Linked DNA regions of Pelodiscus sinensis. The protein of the gene in region 2 interacts with the protein of the main gene of each other region in a pairwise test. Links are inferred from orthologs where the notes say so. Each region holds a gene or a part of one and is shown on either strand. Other genes may lie near its edges.

Region 1 (7,709 bases), on a different chromosome or scaffold from region 2:
AGAGCAGCTACACCATGCAACAGTGAAGGCAGAAGAGACAGGAAACAGGCTGTGATGGCAGGGGTCACTTCCAGGAGTTAGCTCAGAACTTGACAGAAACCTTGAGCAACAGCTCTGGGATTTTTTTTATCCCTTACTGTAGATTCAGACACAAGCTATTGGGGCCTGGGAATTGGTGTATCTGCCCTCTTGCTGTAGTTTATAAAAATAAGCTTGCCCTGCATGTGCTCTTGTGCACCAGTGTAGTGATGCTAAGTGATGGGCACTGAGACCTGAATCAGAGAAATTCCTAGAGGCAGACTTGGTGCACTTCCTAGGGCAGGTCTAAGTTTGTATTTAAGAATTAAAGTTCCTATCTCTTAATGACTATGCAGGAAACCAACACAAAGTGAAACTGACCCAAGATCATGCTCCTAAGTCTAGGGACAGCCTGGAACATCAGAGGCCACACTGAGGCCGGAAAGTAGGATAAGAGGCAGCAGGAAAGAGATTCAAAGCACCATTGGAAGTCATGGACTGACTTCCTAAAGCTGTCGGGTCTGGGTCAGCAGTGGAGCTCAAAGCTGAGCCATTCAGCACCAGTTCCCGCCAGCTAAGGATGTGGAGGCACTCACTGGCTCTGGGGAAGATGGCTCTTCTCTTCTGAGAAGGCCAGCATGTCTGGAAGACAAAGCTACTCAAGCTTTGTATACACAGAACAGTTTAAAGTGCAGCTGCAGCAGCACTTTAAACTGAAAGTGTGGCCACGGCACAAGTGGGGGCCGAGAGCTCTCCCAGTGCCTATGTAACCTGCCTCTGCATGGGGAGCAGCTCACAGCGCTGGGAGCCACAGGGCTGTAGCCTGGCTCACACAGGCAACTTACAGTGCTGTAACTTGCTGCATTCCAGGAAGGGGAAGTGTCTCAATGAGCTAGAATACAGTACTGTCAAGTGCCCGGATAGACTTCACCTTAGGGTGGATCATCACCACCTGCCTGCGTGTCTGAGAATCCCCTTGTGCCCCATTCAGCAGGTATTTCTGTGCTTTGAGCCCTCCCTGAGAAACAGCTCCCTACCCCAATTGTGGTGAGAACAATTTGCCCAAATGGTTTTAGGCACAAGCAACATAAAGGGCCACCTGAAGTCCTCCGCATCCCTCCCCTAAACAAGGCCGCGTTGCTCTCCAACAAGTGCTCACCCAGCAGTTCTCCCATGCCCAAGGCATCTCTAGCTGACCCACAGCCACAGGGCAATTCCTGTAAACAGAGCCCAGTATCCAATGTTGGGGAGAAGGCTAACACCACTGTGCTACTGGCTGCTGGATTCTGTGCTCTGCAAGGCAGCTGTGAAGGGAACAGCATGCACTTGTTATGAAGCTAGACACTAAACACCCTGCCAAGGCCCTGGCTCTCTTTGCCAAGTGGATTTGGCCTGGAAGGGCCCTGCTCAGGGAAAACAGGGCAGCCAGGTAGAGATTAGGGGCAAAGGTCAGGAAGGCCTCAGGAGGAGACAGACAGGGAATTTAAGCAAACAGGGCTGGGCAGCTCAGGGCAATGGGGCCTACTGACCTCTGCACCCCCCGACTGGACAGACTGGAAATAGTGGCCATCAAATCGCTCTTTGTGACCTACTGGAAATGAGTTGGTGGGTTTCAGTCCAGATTCCTCCTCCAGGCTGCCAGCCCCACTGATACCCATGTGAGAGCGCTCAGCAGGGGCCCAGGACCACAGACTGACCCATCCTCTCACCCTAACCAAGGTGCCTGCACCAGGATACAATGCAGGAGGGGGCAGGAGGGCAGCCAATACAAAACTGCTCCACAGGCAGCAGCTGCTCTGGAAACCACCACCGGACAGTGTCCTCCCCCAGCACTAGAACTGGCCCGGGGGACAGGGTGGGGTGATGCACTCAGGCTGCAAGAGGGAAGCTTGCTCACTGGATCAATCTGAGGGAAAGTCAACTCTGTCCAAGGATCAGCATGAGGCCTGTGCCTCCCTTACCACGTCTCTGGTGCAGATGACCTGGTGAATCACCCCCCCTGCTTGAAAGGCTTCTAGGTTAACCGTCCCCCTGCACAGGTGGGGAACAGGGCAGCCAGGCAGAGGTCAGAGGCAAAGGTCAGGAAGGCCTCAGGAGGAGACAGACGGGGAATATAAGCTCTGAGCTAGGCCAGCCAGGCTGACTCACAACTCCATTTAAGAGGCGGTTATGAAGCCAAGAGCTCTGGATTATCATAGTGGTCCCTTGTCTGTACAAAGAGCTATGAATTGTTAACATGAGTCTGTCTGCCCGGTCCCAAGCAGACATTCCTTTGGAGGGACAGGCAGGATCCGCCGCTCAGGGAGGGGCCTTTGACTGGAACAGATTTCACAGAAACCGAAGGTCCCGCCACAGATTGCTGCCCCCCCCCCCTTGCCAAGGCTGCAATCGTGGCTGCGCTGTTACTTTCAGAGGCAGCGGAGTTTGCCCAACCAACTGCTGGAAGTCACCCCCGCCAGAGGGGAGCCTCCGAGAGGACCCGCCAGGCCACTCACCGCGGCCTGGAAAGTGACAGACCCTGAAACAGCTTCTGAGCCCCTCGCTCCGGTCTGTCCCCCTGCGCCCGGACTGGCCCGAAACGCCTGAGCAGCTCGGGGAACGTTGCTAGATACCCACTAAAACCAGCCTCTAGCCCACCAGGAACCAGACTCCTGCTCCCCAGCCCTGCCCGCAGATCAGTCCTAGCGGAGCCACCAGCACCCGAGGCCGGGGCAAGGGGAAGCGCACGGAGATGGTGCCGCGTGCCCAAGACAGAGGGATGCTTGGCGGCGATGTGGAAGAAAGGCCCCCGGGGACCGCCCTCCTCCGACCGGTGCTTGCCGAGGCCAGCCCCAAGCCAGGCACAGAACCCGGGCAGCCTGGCTCCCAGGCGGCTGCTCCCTCCGCCACGCCAGGCTCCAGGACCAGCGGCCCAACGAGGGAGCCGGGGAGGATGGGTAGCCCGGCAAACTCCCCCGGCTGCTGCAGCCCCACCCGGCTTTGTTACCCAACCGCCCCCGGCCGCCCCCGCTGCGCTGATTACCGGGCTCTGGGCAGGGCGGGGGCACTCGAGAGCCGCCCAACAAGGCGGCATCCGCGCTCCTGCTCCGTCCTTCTCGGGCAGCGGCGCCCGCGCCTCCATCCGCCGCCCTGCGGGGCCAGCGCAGCTGCAGACACCGCCCGCCTGTCTCCCTGCGCCCCGCACCAATGGCTGCTGCGCCGCCGTTCGCTGCCGCGGCCTCATTGGCGCCCCGCTCGCCCGCCCAGACAATGCGCAGCTGGCTGGGGAGTGTCCGCAGCAGAGGCGGCGGCTGCAGGGGGGCGCTGGGATCGCAGCCTGAGCCTGGCCAGGGCCCGGGAGAGAGGGTGGGGGCCTGACCCGCCCCAGGCGGGGGAAGAAAGGACTTTTGTGAAGCGTTGGGGGGCGGGCAGTCCACCCAAGCGAGCTACTCGGGGGGATGTGTCCCACTGGCCTCGCCCGGCTCAGACACAGGCCAGGTCGGGCGGGACAAGGGACATTCCCAGCTGATGTTTGACGGGTGTGCGGTACCAGCAAGCAAGAGTTTAAATCCATTTAGGAGCCAGACAGAGCCAAGAGTCACCACCTGGAAACTGAGTGTTCAAATGGGACTAACTAAGGGGCTGGTTTTGAACCCTCTGGGGAACTAGCCACAGGCTGAGATGGCCAAGGGACATCTTGAAATCCTTACATCAAGCCTAGGTGTTTCATCTAGAGATTTGCCTAGGCTACATAGAAAGCATTGGCAAAGTCGGTACTGTACCAACTAAAATTTCATACAGTGACTTGTTTACACTGCTCTGCATACTAGGCCCTGAACTGGAAGTACAATATTTATATATCCAGGGATTATATTTTAATTATTTGGCCAAAATGAGCGAGTCAGCCATTTTTCAGTGACCGTGTGCAATGGCACTTGTATATTTCTGTGTCTGGTTTTGTGAGTGAGTCTTTTTCAAGGGGGAGCAAGACGGGGGCACAGAAGACAATTCAGACTCTGCAAGGGGCATGACAGTCTGCAAAGGTTGCAAGCCCCTGCTCTGGAGTATTCGCACCAGCTCCACCACAAGCCATTGGATAAGCAGGCCTGGCCAGTTTGCACGGCCCAAGGCAGCATGTTGTGGTTGGCTGTACCACATGGCTGGGTGGCTCCCAGCCAGGCAGCACAGGGTCCTAGGCAACCGCCTTGCTCACCTTTCCCTAAGGTCGGGCCTGTTGGCAGGAGTCTGGCCTGTGCTATGCAGCATACCCAGCTGTGGTCCCTTCTGGGCTTAAAATCTGCAAAACTCACAACTAGGCCTGTTGATGGGGGTGGAAGGGCAAAGGCGGCACCTGCCTCTAGGCCTAGCAATTCAAAATGGCTTGGGGCTCCTGATAGCCTCCTACCAGCCCTTCAGCACCACCCAGAAGCAGCTAGCCCAAAGTCCCGCCTCTTCTGCCAGAAGCCCCGCCCCTTCGGTGAGCATGGAGCTGCCCTGCCACCCTCCCATCTTGCATAAGGGCCTGGCAGTTCGGTCGGCCCCCCCAGCTGCAGTGTTGCCAGCACTTGTAGTTGGATAGCAAGTCTCACGTTGTTCTGTGGCTCTCTTCATGCCCCAAATGCTGGGGCGAGTGCTGGTCTGAAACAACAGCTTTCAGTTTCTAAGAAGGGCTGTTGAGATAAGTGTAAGCGGGGGAATGGTCCCGCTATTGTGGGGAGCTTTCCTGGCTTCTATACTGCCCCGGTGAAATGGACCAGCAAAAGCATCTGAGTCCCCACTCCCACTTCTTTTACCCAAAGGCCTCCCTGACACTGAGGGCTCCTCTTCCATTCTCCTGAGTAGCAGAGTCCTCGAAATCCAACAAAGCTAGGCCCAGGTTTTCTGGGGCTTAATCCCCGACCTTGTAGTCACTTGGGGTAAGGGCTAGGGTGTCCCCACTCTGGGGTGCTCTCTTCACACTGCAGGCTTTCTTGACCCAGTGATCATTTCATACAGTTCAAAGCAAATACAATTTATTAAACAACTGATCAAAAAGAACAGAAAAGGAAAAATGAGAAAGGTTAAATGAGAACGCACAGCCCTCCTCTGTAGCACGGGGACATCACAAACAGCCGTCTGCAGAGTGTAAGGATAGTTCACAGTCTGTTCCTTGTAGGTCCCCGGGCTCTCTCTCAGGCCCTGGCTGTGCTGCAGGGAGGCTGCAAGTTGGACACGCTTGCTCTGGGAGTGACCACATGGCCTAGGCTCTAGGTGGCAGGACCCCTCTCCCAGTTGGAGTTACAATCCCTCTCCAAGTCTGGCCTGCAGGGTGGCGCTGGTGGCGTGTCCCTGCCCAGAGCCTCTTTCCCCCTTTGCTGGTCCCAGCTACTCACCACACCCAGCTGCAGACTGCTGCTTTGCCAGACTCCAGCTCCTTGTGTTGCTTCTCTGACCCCTTTGGCTCTCTGGTCACTGCAGGTCTGCTGCTCAGCACAGGGTCTGTGCTCCTCGGGCTGTGTGTGGGGCTCTGTCACTGCAGGTCTGCCCCTCAGCACAGCTTTCACTCCTCGGGCTGTGTGTGGGGCTCTGTCACTGCAGGTCTGCCCCTCAGCACAGCTTTCACTCCTCGGGCTGTGTGTGGGGCTCTGTCACTGCAGGTCTGCCCCTCAGCACAGCTTTCACTCCTCGGGCTGTGTGTGGGGCTCTGTCACTGCAGGTCTGCCCCTCAGCACAGCTTTCACTCCTCGGGCTGTGTGTGGGGCTCTGTCACTGCAGGTCTGCCCCTCAGCACAGCTTGCACTCCTCGGGCTGTGCGCGCCTGGCTGTGACACTGCAGGTCTGCCCCTCAGCACAGCTTGCACTCCTCGGGCTGTGTGTGCCTGGCTGTGACACTGCAGGTCTGCCCCTCAGCACAGCTTTCACTTCTCGGGCTGTGTGTGCCTGGCTGTGACTCTGCAGGTCTGCCCCTCAGCACAGCTTGCACTCCTCGGGCTGTGCGCGCCTGGCTGTGACACTGCAGGTCTGCCCCTCAGCACAGCTTGCACTCCTCGGGCTGTGTGTGCCTGGCTGTGACACTGCAGGTCTGCCCCTCAGCACAGCTTTCACTCCTCGGGCTGTGTGTGCCTGGCTGTGACACTGCAGGTCTGCCCCTCAGCACAGCTTTCACTTCTCGGGCTGTGCGTGCCTGGCTGTGACACTGCAGGTCTGCCCCTCAGCACAGCTTTCACTCCTCGGGCTGTGCGCGCCTGGCTGTGACACTGCAGGTCTGCCCCTCAGCACAGCTTGCACTCCTCGGGCTGTGCGCGCCTGGCTGTGACACTGCAGGTCTGCCCCTCAGCACAGCTTGCACTCCTCGGGCTGTGCGTGCCTGGCTGTGACACTGCAGGTCTGCCCCTCAGCACAGCTTTCACTCCTCGGGCTGTGCGTGCCTGGCTGTGACACTGCAGGTCTGCCCCTCAGCACAGCTTGCACTCCTCGGGCTGTGCGCGCCTGGCTGTGACACTGCAGGTCTGCCCCTCAGCACAGCTTTCACTCCTCGGGCTGTGCGCGCCTGGCTGTGACACTGCAGGTCTGCCCCTCAGCACAGCTTTCACTCCTCGGGCTGTGCGCGCCTGGCTGTGACACTGCAGGTCTGCCCCTCAGCACAGCTTTCACTCCTCGGGCTGTGCGCGCCTGGCTGTGACACTGCAGGTCTGCCCCTCAGCACAGCTTTCACTCCTCGGGCTGTGTGTGCCTGGCTGTGACACTGCAGGTCTGCCCCTCAGCACAGCTTTCACTCCTCGGGCTGTGTGTGCCTGGCTGTGACACTGCAGGTCTGCCCCTCAGCACAGCTTTCACTTCTCGGGCTGTGTGCGCCTGGCTGTGACACTGCAGGTCTGCCCCTCAGCACAGCTTTCACTCCTCGGGCTGTGTGTGCCTGGCTGTGACACTGCAGGTCTGCCCCTCAGCACAGCTTGCACTCCTCGGGCTGTGTGTGCCTGGCTGTGACACTGCATGTCTGTCTCCACACAGCTTGCCTTTTCTGCTGCTCTTCTCAGCTCTCTCTCCTTTTCTCAGAAAGACCCAGAAAATCCCAGCTCACACGGAGGATGGGACCTGGCCTTCTAATTCTCTCATTCATCTGTCCAACCTGTCAATCAGGCTGAGCTGGAGTGTTGGCCTCTTCCCATTGTCCCTGGGCAGGGACGGATGACGATTTTGCGGGGCCTAGGGTAGCACAATTTCGCAGGGCCCCCCCTTTGACACATCGCATGCGTGGGGCTTCTTGAAGCGCGGGGCCCGGGGCAGCCACCCCGCTCGCCCTGCCCTATATCTGCCCCTGTCCCTGGGGTCTGTCAGTCAGTCTCATGTACCCTTCCCCTTTTGGTACTGGGAGCTGGCCAACCAAAAACTCCCACTGAGTTTTAGTAAGGGGCTAACAGTCCCCTTACATAAGCTTGAAACGTGGCCTGCATGTAACCCCAAAGGTTCAAAACCAGAAGGCAACTCAAAAGAAGCCCAGTGCATGTGTGATAGAAATTATTGTACTTAAACCCTCCAGGAGCTTGGGGTGCCCAGGGAGGGCAGCAACGCAGCTAGCAGAGCCACTAGGGCTGACCCACCATTTCTCCCCTCCCAGGTGACCCTTCCTGTTCTGCGGCTTGGCCTACTAAGGCTCCTGCTGCTTCTGCCCTGGGATTCATCCAGATCACAGCTGTCCCAGCCATCAGTCCTGCACATTCCCCAGGGCTGAA
Region 2 (8,275 bases):
AAAATTAAACATGTCTGTTCTTTTTGTTTACTTTTGCACACTGCCATCCTTGCAGATGACAAAACAGCAATGGGGACAGAGTCTCTGAACTGCTGCCAAAGGTTTGCTTGTTGGTAGGAATTTTTGTGCCGCGCTGTAAACAAAAATGGTGCTGAGAGCTTGGGGGCAATCACACATGCTGCATGGTTTCTGCAGCCTGCTGGAAATTCCTCAGGTACTGGAGTAGGAAAAACACCCAATCAAGATACTTCAACTCCCTACATGCTTCCTTTTCCAGATCCCAGATGTTTTAAGATGAACAAGGACCCTGTTCTAATTATTTTTAAAAATGATATTCACATTTTATTAGTTCACATAGAGGTATCTGGTCTCAGTTTCTTTAGTTAGTAACTAGGTATTTCCCATAAGCTATTAATGAAGCCAACCACCAGAGTGAATTTAAGGAAGAGAACTCCCTCCTTCTCGATCAGTGTCTACTACACAGGTAATTTAGATTTGAATATGTACATCAGCACAGACTGAGCAGCAGTGTCAATGTTAACCTCTGAAGCATGCAATCCTATGCTAGAACCTGTTCATTTTGAAGAGCAGTTTATCTAATCATGATGTGCTTTGGAATATTATACTTTATGAGATTCTATGTGCTGCACAAGGTGGGGTTAGGAACAACGGACAATGCAGGACAAAAGAAGTCATTGCAGAAATGTTTAGCTGCTTTTAAAAAATTCCAATCCAGTGCTTCACAGGTTATCAGTGCCATCTTTTGGCAAGAGAAATTTAATTACTGTCCTCGCTACCTCTGTAACCATATTAACAATTATGAGGAGTAACAGGAAAAAGTAATTTTCAGTTCCTTAAATTAATGTTAATGCCCAGACAGAGTGAATGTCCATTCAAAACTGAACATGAAAGCATATTCATCAGCTACAAAAAGGGGAAGGGAAGAAAGAAAATGAACCATTTAATTTAGAGCCAGCGCTGGGCAGCAGAAAATCTGCACCCAGTCACTCCATCAAATATTAAGCTTTGATTACTATACAAGAGAGTCAATTAAAAAAAATCAATAATCTAAGTTCCCTTGACACCATCAGCAGTTCCACGCTGACAATTAAGTTCAATCAACCCTCCTCCAACCCCCAGTGTATCATTCAGCTTATTGAGAAATGCCCTTACATTGCTATAATGGCATCTTGGCAGAAAAATATACCTCATGCAACAATTCAGATACACCCCTGCATTCTAGGGATTATGTCCCATAAGCAGGTGCAACTCCAACTGAGATCAGAGCAAGACCTCTTTACCAGCAGGGATGAGCTGAATGAACCCAGATCATTAAATGATGAAAATTCTATAATGAAGGTAGGAACATCTTACAACACTATCGTTGTGATTACTCTGTGAATTTGCACCTTCCCAAAACGTGCATGAACAGGATGAGAAAAGACTTATCAAACATCACCAGAACTCACAGCACAGCTACTCTAAATCTTAAAACCAAGATGATCAGTGTTATGCGCTAGTGAGCAAAATGAACTCCTGAAGGAGCTCATGACTATGGCATGATAGACACACACACATTTTTCTCTGCCAGACTCAAAAACTCATCAGACTAATCTATCTATCTATCTATAGTGGTAGCAAATCAATAGTGTTTTATAGACAATATTACATTAGATCCCAATAAACCAGCAACAGAGCTCCATGCATCAAACCATTATCTGTCATCCTTCAACACAGCTATGTACTTAGCAAGCCTTTACAGCTCCTGAAGAGATAAAACAAGTGACTTAAATCAAGCATACATCAGCAAATACATTGTCTGAGTATCAGGTCATTTGTCAGTGGGGCAAAGGGCAAGGCATACAATGCTGTCAAAGTTGCAGATGAAGGTAAATACCTTGGTATGTAATAGGGTTAATAAACCAACAAGCTATAGAGAAAAAAATGAGGGGGAAATATATTCCACAGCTGGGAGGTTACTCAAGGTTTGAAGCCTGTGAAAGAAACAGCTCCCCTCTAATATACATACCACCACTGGCACCCTGAAGTAACCTTTGTCATCAAACACAGGTGCTCTCCTAGGGGAATTTAACTGCTTTAAACGATTTCTGATTAGATGCAACCAGGTTGCCCGGATTATCCCTTCTCAGGCAATGCGCTGTGCTCTTACATACACACACACACGCTCTCCGGATGCCCTCAGGAGCGTGTAGGGCAGGGGGCTGTGGAGACCACCTGTCACTGTCAGACACCAGCGGGGGGGGGGGGGGAGCAGGGATCCCACTCCTGTCAGGGGGCAGAGGGGTTGGGATGTGATTCAATTTCGCACCGAGAGGGGCTGCCGATCAGTGCAAGGAGGGGCGGGTCAGACATCTGCAGTGAGAAGGGGGGCGGTGGGGGATGCCAAGGGAAGCGATCGGTCACCTGCCAGGAGGGAGCTGGGGAGGGGGGAGAAGAGACACTTACTGGCGCAGCGCAGGACTCGCTGCTGCACCGCCTGCCCGCACAGGTCGCACCAGCCGCTGCAGAGCGCGAAGGTTTGGAAGCGGTGCCCTTCGCCCGTCTCCTGCCGCACGCGGGGGTCCCGGGGCTGCTCGAAGATGGTCCGCACGTCGGGCAGCAGGCGCGGCGCCCCGGAGCGCCGCCGCAGGCGCAGGTGGAGCAGCCCGGAGCGGGCCGGCTTGGCCGAGCCGGGGGAGTCCGGCGGGCTGGGGGCTCCGGCGCTGCCCCCCGGCTCCCAGGGCTGCGCGGCAGAGCACGCAGCTAGCGCCGTGCGCCCGGGCTCCTCCGCGGTGCCAGGGAACCTCCCGTCTCCCGGGCGCGCCCCGTCCGCGGGCGCCCCGCCGCTTGCAGCCACTTGCGCCGGCGGAGCATCCTCCGGCGCCGCGCCCCGCTGCTGGGGCAGGGTCCCCTGCCGCCTCCGCGGCTTCGCGTCCGCGGACGCCGAGCGCTTGAGGATCTTCTTCCTCTCGTGGGCGCTCAGGCTCTGCAGGAAGAGCTGCTGCTCTTTGTCCAGGAGCAGCGGGCAGGGGCACGGCCCGATGGCCGGGGAGGCCATGGCCCGAGCGAGCCGCGGCCCGGCGGAGCGCAGGGGTGAATTGGAGAGACAAGGGGGGGAGCCACCTGGAAGCGCCGCTGGCGTAGCCGCTTGCGAGCGCCGCTGCAGTGGGAGGCCCCGTTAAACACACAGGGACACGCGAAACCCGCCGCGAGCCTGAGATTGGAGCAGCCGCTGCGGCACCAGCCAATCAGGCACCCAGCCCCACTGCGCTGGGGGAAACGCCCTTCGTTCCAGGCACAGTCCCTGCCCCACCGCGCGTGCAAACCGGGGCGCAGACCCCACAAACCGGAGGGGACAGGGAAGGGGGGCGCAGCTCTGCTAAGAGCCGGGGCAGAACCCAGCAGGGAGCTATTGAAACAACTGGCAAGGAGCCCGGTTGCAGTAGGACCACACCTGTGGGAAATTGAAAGTTACTTTTCAGCACTGCTGCATAGGGGGCACCTGTGTGTACTTACACCCATGCCTGCATGCCCCGGCCAGGCACCTGTTTACAAAGAAAGGAGACAGGAATTCAAACGCGGCTACCAGTCCTCCCAGCAATGCCCAGCCGATGCCTGCCTGAAAGGGGAATTTTTTTCACTGATCTAAGGGCTCCCGTCCTTGCCCAGAAGTGACTTAGGCAGTGAGGGAAATAAAAAGCCACACAAGTTTTAGGCTGCTGAGGGCCCAGGCCACTTTTGACAACAGGATGTTATGGGCAGAGGCTTAAAAAGGTATTTAAGCACCTAGTGGGATTTTGCAAAGTACCACCACAATTTCTTCAATAAGTGGGGAATCCGTTTGTGCCCCTGGGGGGTAGCACACACAGTTAATGAGCGGGCTGCAAGACTGAAATAAACCCGCATGCATTAATCATGACCCCAAGAATAAGATTAAATATGTTAATATGCAGCATATTTCAAAACAAGTTGAAATGCTTTAATCATTCATGGATTAACAGAGTGGTCCTCAACTTCAAATAATAAAAAAGAAACAATTCACACAATATCAATTCTTTATCCGGCCTCTTCCCTGCCTCCTCTCCCAAGTGCTTCGGGTCCCTGCTCCAGCCCCTCACCCAGGACTTCATGGTGTTCTAGCCCTGGGAGGTTGGAAGAAGAGCAGCCAATTTGTGGCTCTCTGGAAGTGCTGGGAGGAAGGGGGAGGAGTAGGTAAGTGCAGGACCCCGGAGGCACGGGGAAAGCAGGTGCATGGGCTACATGTGGCCCGCAGGCTGCAGGTTGCCCACTGCTGGGTTAGATAAAGCTCTTTTTAAAACACAGAGATAAATAACCGTAAGGGCTATAGAGAGTTTACAGCACTGCTTCCTTCCCCTCCATTACTAAAGCTCACCTCTGCACCACATTTGGGCCCATTAACTGCACTTTCCTCAACACTTCAACAGGAAACTGTACAAAAATGCAACACTGGTTTTGGAGATGAATTTTTGAATGGCTAATTTATATTTATTAATAAAGTAAATTACAGTCTTTACTAAACATTCAGCTTCTACAGACCTGTATTTTTATACACATACAGGGACACGCTGCAGCTGGTGAGCTGAACCATTGCCAATTAAGTGAACCAATATTTTCTCTGTTTCCTTGTCCTCCCTTGTAGGTTTGTATCCACTTATTTTATAGGTAGACTATAAGCTCTTTGGGGCCCAGACTGTCCTGTTGTTCTGTTTGTACAGCGTTTGTGCGCCTGGTCTAGACAATCATTTAATTTTCCACCTTTATTGCAATCACTTGTTTATTTAAATGCTCATTTTCATGGTGCACCAAAATATTCTCTTGGGTACTTGCTGTTAGATGCCTAACTCCGTATGAAAGACACTTTGTGAATGCCCCTTGCCCCTGAATGTCCAGTCAATGGAATGGGAACAGCATCTGCTCAAGAGCCTCTGGAAGAAGAAAACAAAAATCAAACCATTTACTTAGGTGCCTAACTTTGGGCTCCCAAGTTTAAAAGGCTTTACTGCTGTTTTTGTGTATGTGTTTCATTCCCTGCAAGACAAGTGAAAATAAACCCAGCCACTTGCCATTGCAGACAGCTTCTGGTGCTAGCATGACCTAGCTCAGGGGTGAGAAACCTAAGGCCTGGGGGTTGGATGTGGCCTGTGGCTTGCCTGGATCAGACCCCAAAGGCTCAGGGCTCCCCCCTCCAGCTCCCTTCTCTGCCATCCTCCTGTGGGGTTGGAGCACCCAAAATCTAGCCTGGGCCCATCTAGGCTCTAGTGTGTGAGGGGAAGGGAGGGAGGGTCTTTCTCCTTCACAGTCGGAGGCCACATTGGTGAGGTTTTTTGGTTGTTGTTTCTCACTTGTGTGTGGCCCCCGACTAATTTTTCTGTGGGTCAGTGGCCCCCAACCCAAAAAAGTTTCCTCACCCCAACTCACCCCGACCTAGCTGGAAGCAGAATTAAATAATATTTGCGGGGGGGGGGGGGTTGTTGAGGACCCTTTTTGTTTCAGGTTTCAATTTGAATTTTAAAATATCCCTGAAATGCTTCTTTTGCTTTTAAAAAACTTTTGAGGGAGGGGCCAAAATCCATTAACATAAGAGCATCCATACTGGAGCAAGCCAAAGGTCCATCTAGCCCAGTATCCTGTCTTTCCACAGTTGCCCATTGCAGATGCTCCCAGAGGGAATGAACAGAACAGGGAATCATCAAGTGATCAATCTCCTGTTGCCCATTTTCAGCTTCTGACAAACAGATGCTAGGGCCACCATCCCTGCCCATCTGGCTAATAGCCATTGATAGACCTAACCTCCATGAATCTATCTAGCTCTTTTGTTATTGTCTTGACCTTCACAAGGAGTACCACAGGTTGACTGTGCATTGTGTGAATAAATATTTCCTTTGTTTTAAACCAGCTATTAATTTCATTTGGTGACCCCTAGTTTTTGTGTTATAGAAATGATAACTTTTTCTTATTTACTTTCTCCACACCAGTCATGATTTTATAGACCCCTATCATATCCTCCTTTAGTCTTCCTACAATTGCCGCTTGGCAAAACTCATTCTTTTCTATGCCTTTTGTATCAAGAGAAACAGAACAAAGGCTAATTGAACATTAAATGTAATATTGTGCTGCCTACAGTGCTTCTCAACTAGGGAACACCAAGTACTTCCTGAACATCACTGAAGGCTCACTAAATGCCCATGAGGCAGCTACTGTTCCCATTTTACAGACAGCGTGACTGAGGTAGAGAGAGAGTAATTAGTCTAAGTTTTTCAGAAATGACTAATTAGTCTGGGTGTCTAACAGGATAGATGCCTTAAAGGGTCAGATTATCAGAAGGTGAATGCTCCACAATTTTTGACCCTTTACGGCATCTCAAGTTGGATGTTTAAACAATCAGATCTTCAAAATCACTAGCCACTTAAAATTTTTGGCCAAGACCACATGACAAGTAGGCAGTAGAGCATAGATTGAATTTGGTCTTCCAGGTCCCAGGCTACTATTACCGCACTACTTTTTCTTTGTGGTGTAATTTCTCTCATATGGGTGTAAAACTGGTGTAAACTTCAGTGGCATTACTCTTAAATAGTTGTCAGTGGAGTTACTCCTAAATTACATGGGTTCCAGGGAGAGGATAATCAGAGATAATTGCTTTTCATTTGCTATAGTGGAGGGTAAATTTGTTCTCATGTGTCTGTTTCTCAAGGGAGTTAGGGATGAATCAGATATTTAACCCCAAAAAGCGCTGGGAGATCTGTGTTACAAGCTAATAGTGCCATAATAGCACATACATAGCATGATGCTCAAGTCAGTTATCAAACAGCAGTCCAGCTTGCAACATTCTAGTTTCATTCTTCATTTTAGCACGAAGTTGGTCCCCCCTGCCCTATGTTTTCTTAAAATCCCTTCTCCCCTGTTCATTTTATCATCATCACAAGCAACCTCTCTTTTCTATGCAACAAAGGGCTGTTTTGCGCTCAAGCGACAGTTACAACATAGCTACAGCCAACCCACCCACCCAATCCAGTAAAAGAAAAAACGTGGGGAATATTTGTGACAGGCTAGCGCATGTTATGTGAAGGCTTCTTCATAAGAGATTGAACTTGTGTTGTATGAGATTTGAAAAAAAAAATAGAACTTAAAATAAATATACATGGGCCCCAAGAAAAGTCAATCGAACAGTTTTACTTCATATGCAATTGTGTGTCAGAACCCAATGGGGGAAACTGAGTGTGTCCTTTGTAATTATGGGGTTGCTGAACTGTAAGAATTCACTTCTCATGTGTCTCTTGTCCTGTTAATACTGGGTCTCTTGACCAACACACAGGACCAAGACTCAGGAATTCGAGTTTCCAACCTTGTTCTGATATTGATTTTGTATGTGACCTTGTGCAGATCACTTAACCTCTTTGCCTTAGTTTCCCTACCAGGGAAGTGGGAAAATTTATTTACCTGAAAGATGGAAGAGAATTGAGTGAATTAATATTTCTGTAGGGCTGTGTAGTCTTCTGCACATTTAAACAGATATATCAGTTCTACAGATGAATTGCTTTGCCCCCAACAAAAATATGGCAACCTCTGAGATGACGCTTAAAGCTATTTAACAGCACTATGTCACATTATGCAACTGTTTAGGGAAGAACATTGTAACGAGGTTCAATTTAAAGAGGCCCAATTCTCCTACCTCTGGAACCAAACTGCAGAATGTATTCCAGAGAAAACAGCTGGAACACAACACAGCATTTCCCGTTTGCTTTTCAGACCAGTAAGCAAAGGCTGGATGGTGTTGCTCACACCATCCTTTTATTCATGAAACACTCTCCTAATCATCTGCCAGAGGAAGTGATCTACAGCAGAGCTCTGCAAAATTTTCTGGACAAATAGTTTAATTGCTGAAAAAACACCATTTCAGGTTCATCAAAACTATTTGCAAATTCAGATCAAGTCCGGAGAAGAGTTTCGCCCAGAATTATGTTTTTAATGGATAGTCAAACCTCTTTATTTCAAAATGGCATCTAGTTTAAAAGGTTAACTGGGTTGATTTAACAGAAAAAGCATGATCCCCAAAACAAAATAAAAAACAAATACAAATACATGCCAGGTCAAACATGTTTTGTTCAAACCAAACGGAAGTTAATTTAGTTTTGGACACTGGAAAAAAAAATTAACTGTCTCCTGTTATGTCACAGGTTAGAACTGAGCAAATTCACAGTCCCCCTATTGTGGAATCTGAGTATTTGCCTGGCAGTTATTAATCCATAGCCAATAT

What was found. The genes of interacting proteins can lie anywhere in the genome.
Region 1: the proteins of RASSF5 (region 2) and RASSF2 interact in binary tests that used the Homo sapiens proteins (3 or more experiments, as listed by UniProt). The link is inferred for Pelodiscus sinensis from reciprocal best matches to the Homo sapiens genes RASSF5 and RASSF2.

What each region holds. Positions count from the first base shown.
Region 1 is NC_134738.1:480,863-488,571, forward strand, and holds the start of RASSF2 (ras association domain-containing protein 2), read right to left. Parts: upstream 3,230-7,709; 5' UTR 3,041-3,229; intron 1-3,040. UniProt on the Homo sapiens protein: Potential tumor suppressor. Acts as a KRAS-specific effector protein. May promote apoptosis and cell cycle arrest. Stabilizes STK3/MST2 by protecting it from proteasomal degradation.
Region 2 is NC_134737.1:6,050,393-6,058,667, forward strand, and holds the start of RASSF5 (ras association domain-containing protein 5), read right to left. Parts: upstream 3,201-8,275; 5' UTR 3,059-3,200; coding exon 2,467-3,058; intron 1-2,466. UniProt on the Homo sapiens protein: Potential tumor suppressor. Seems to be involved in lymphocyte adhesion by linking RAP1A activation upon T-cell receptor or chemokine stimulation to integrin activation.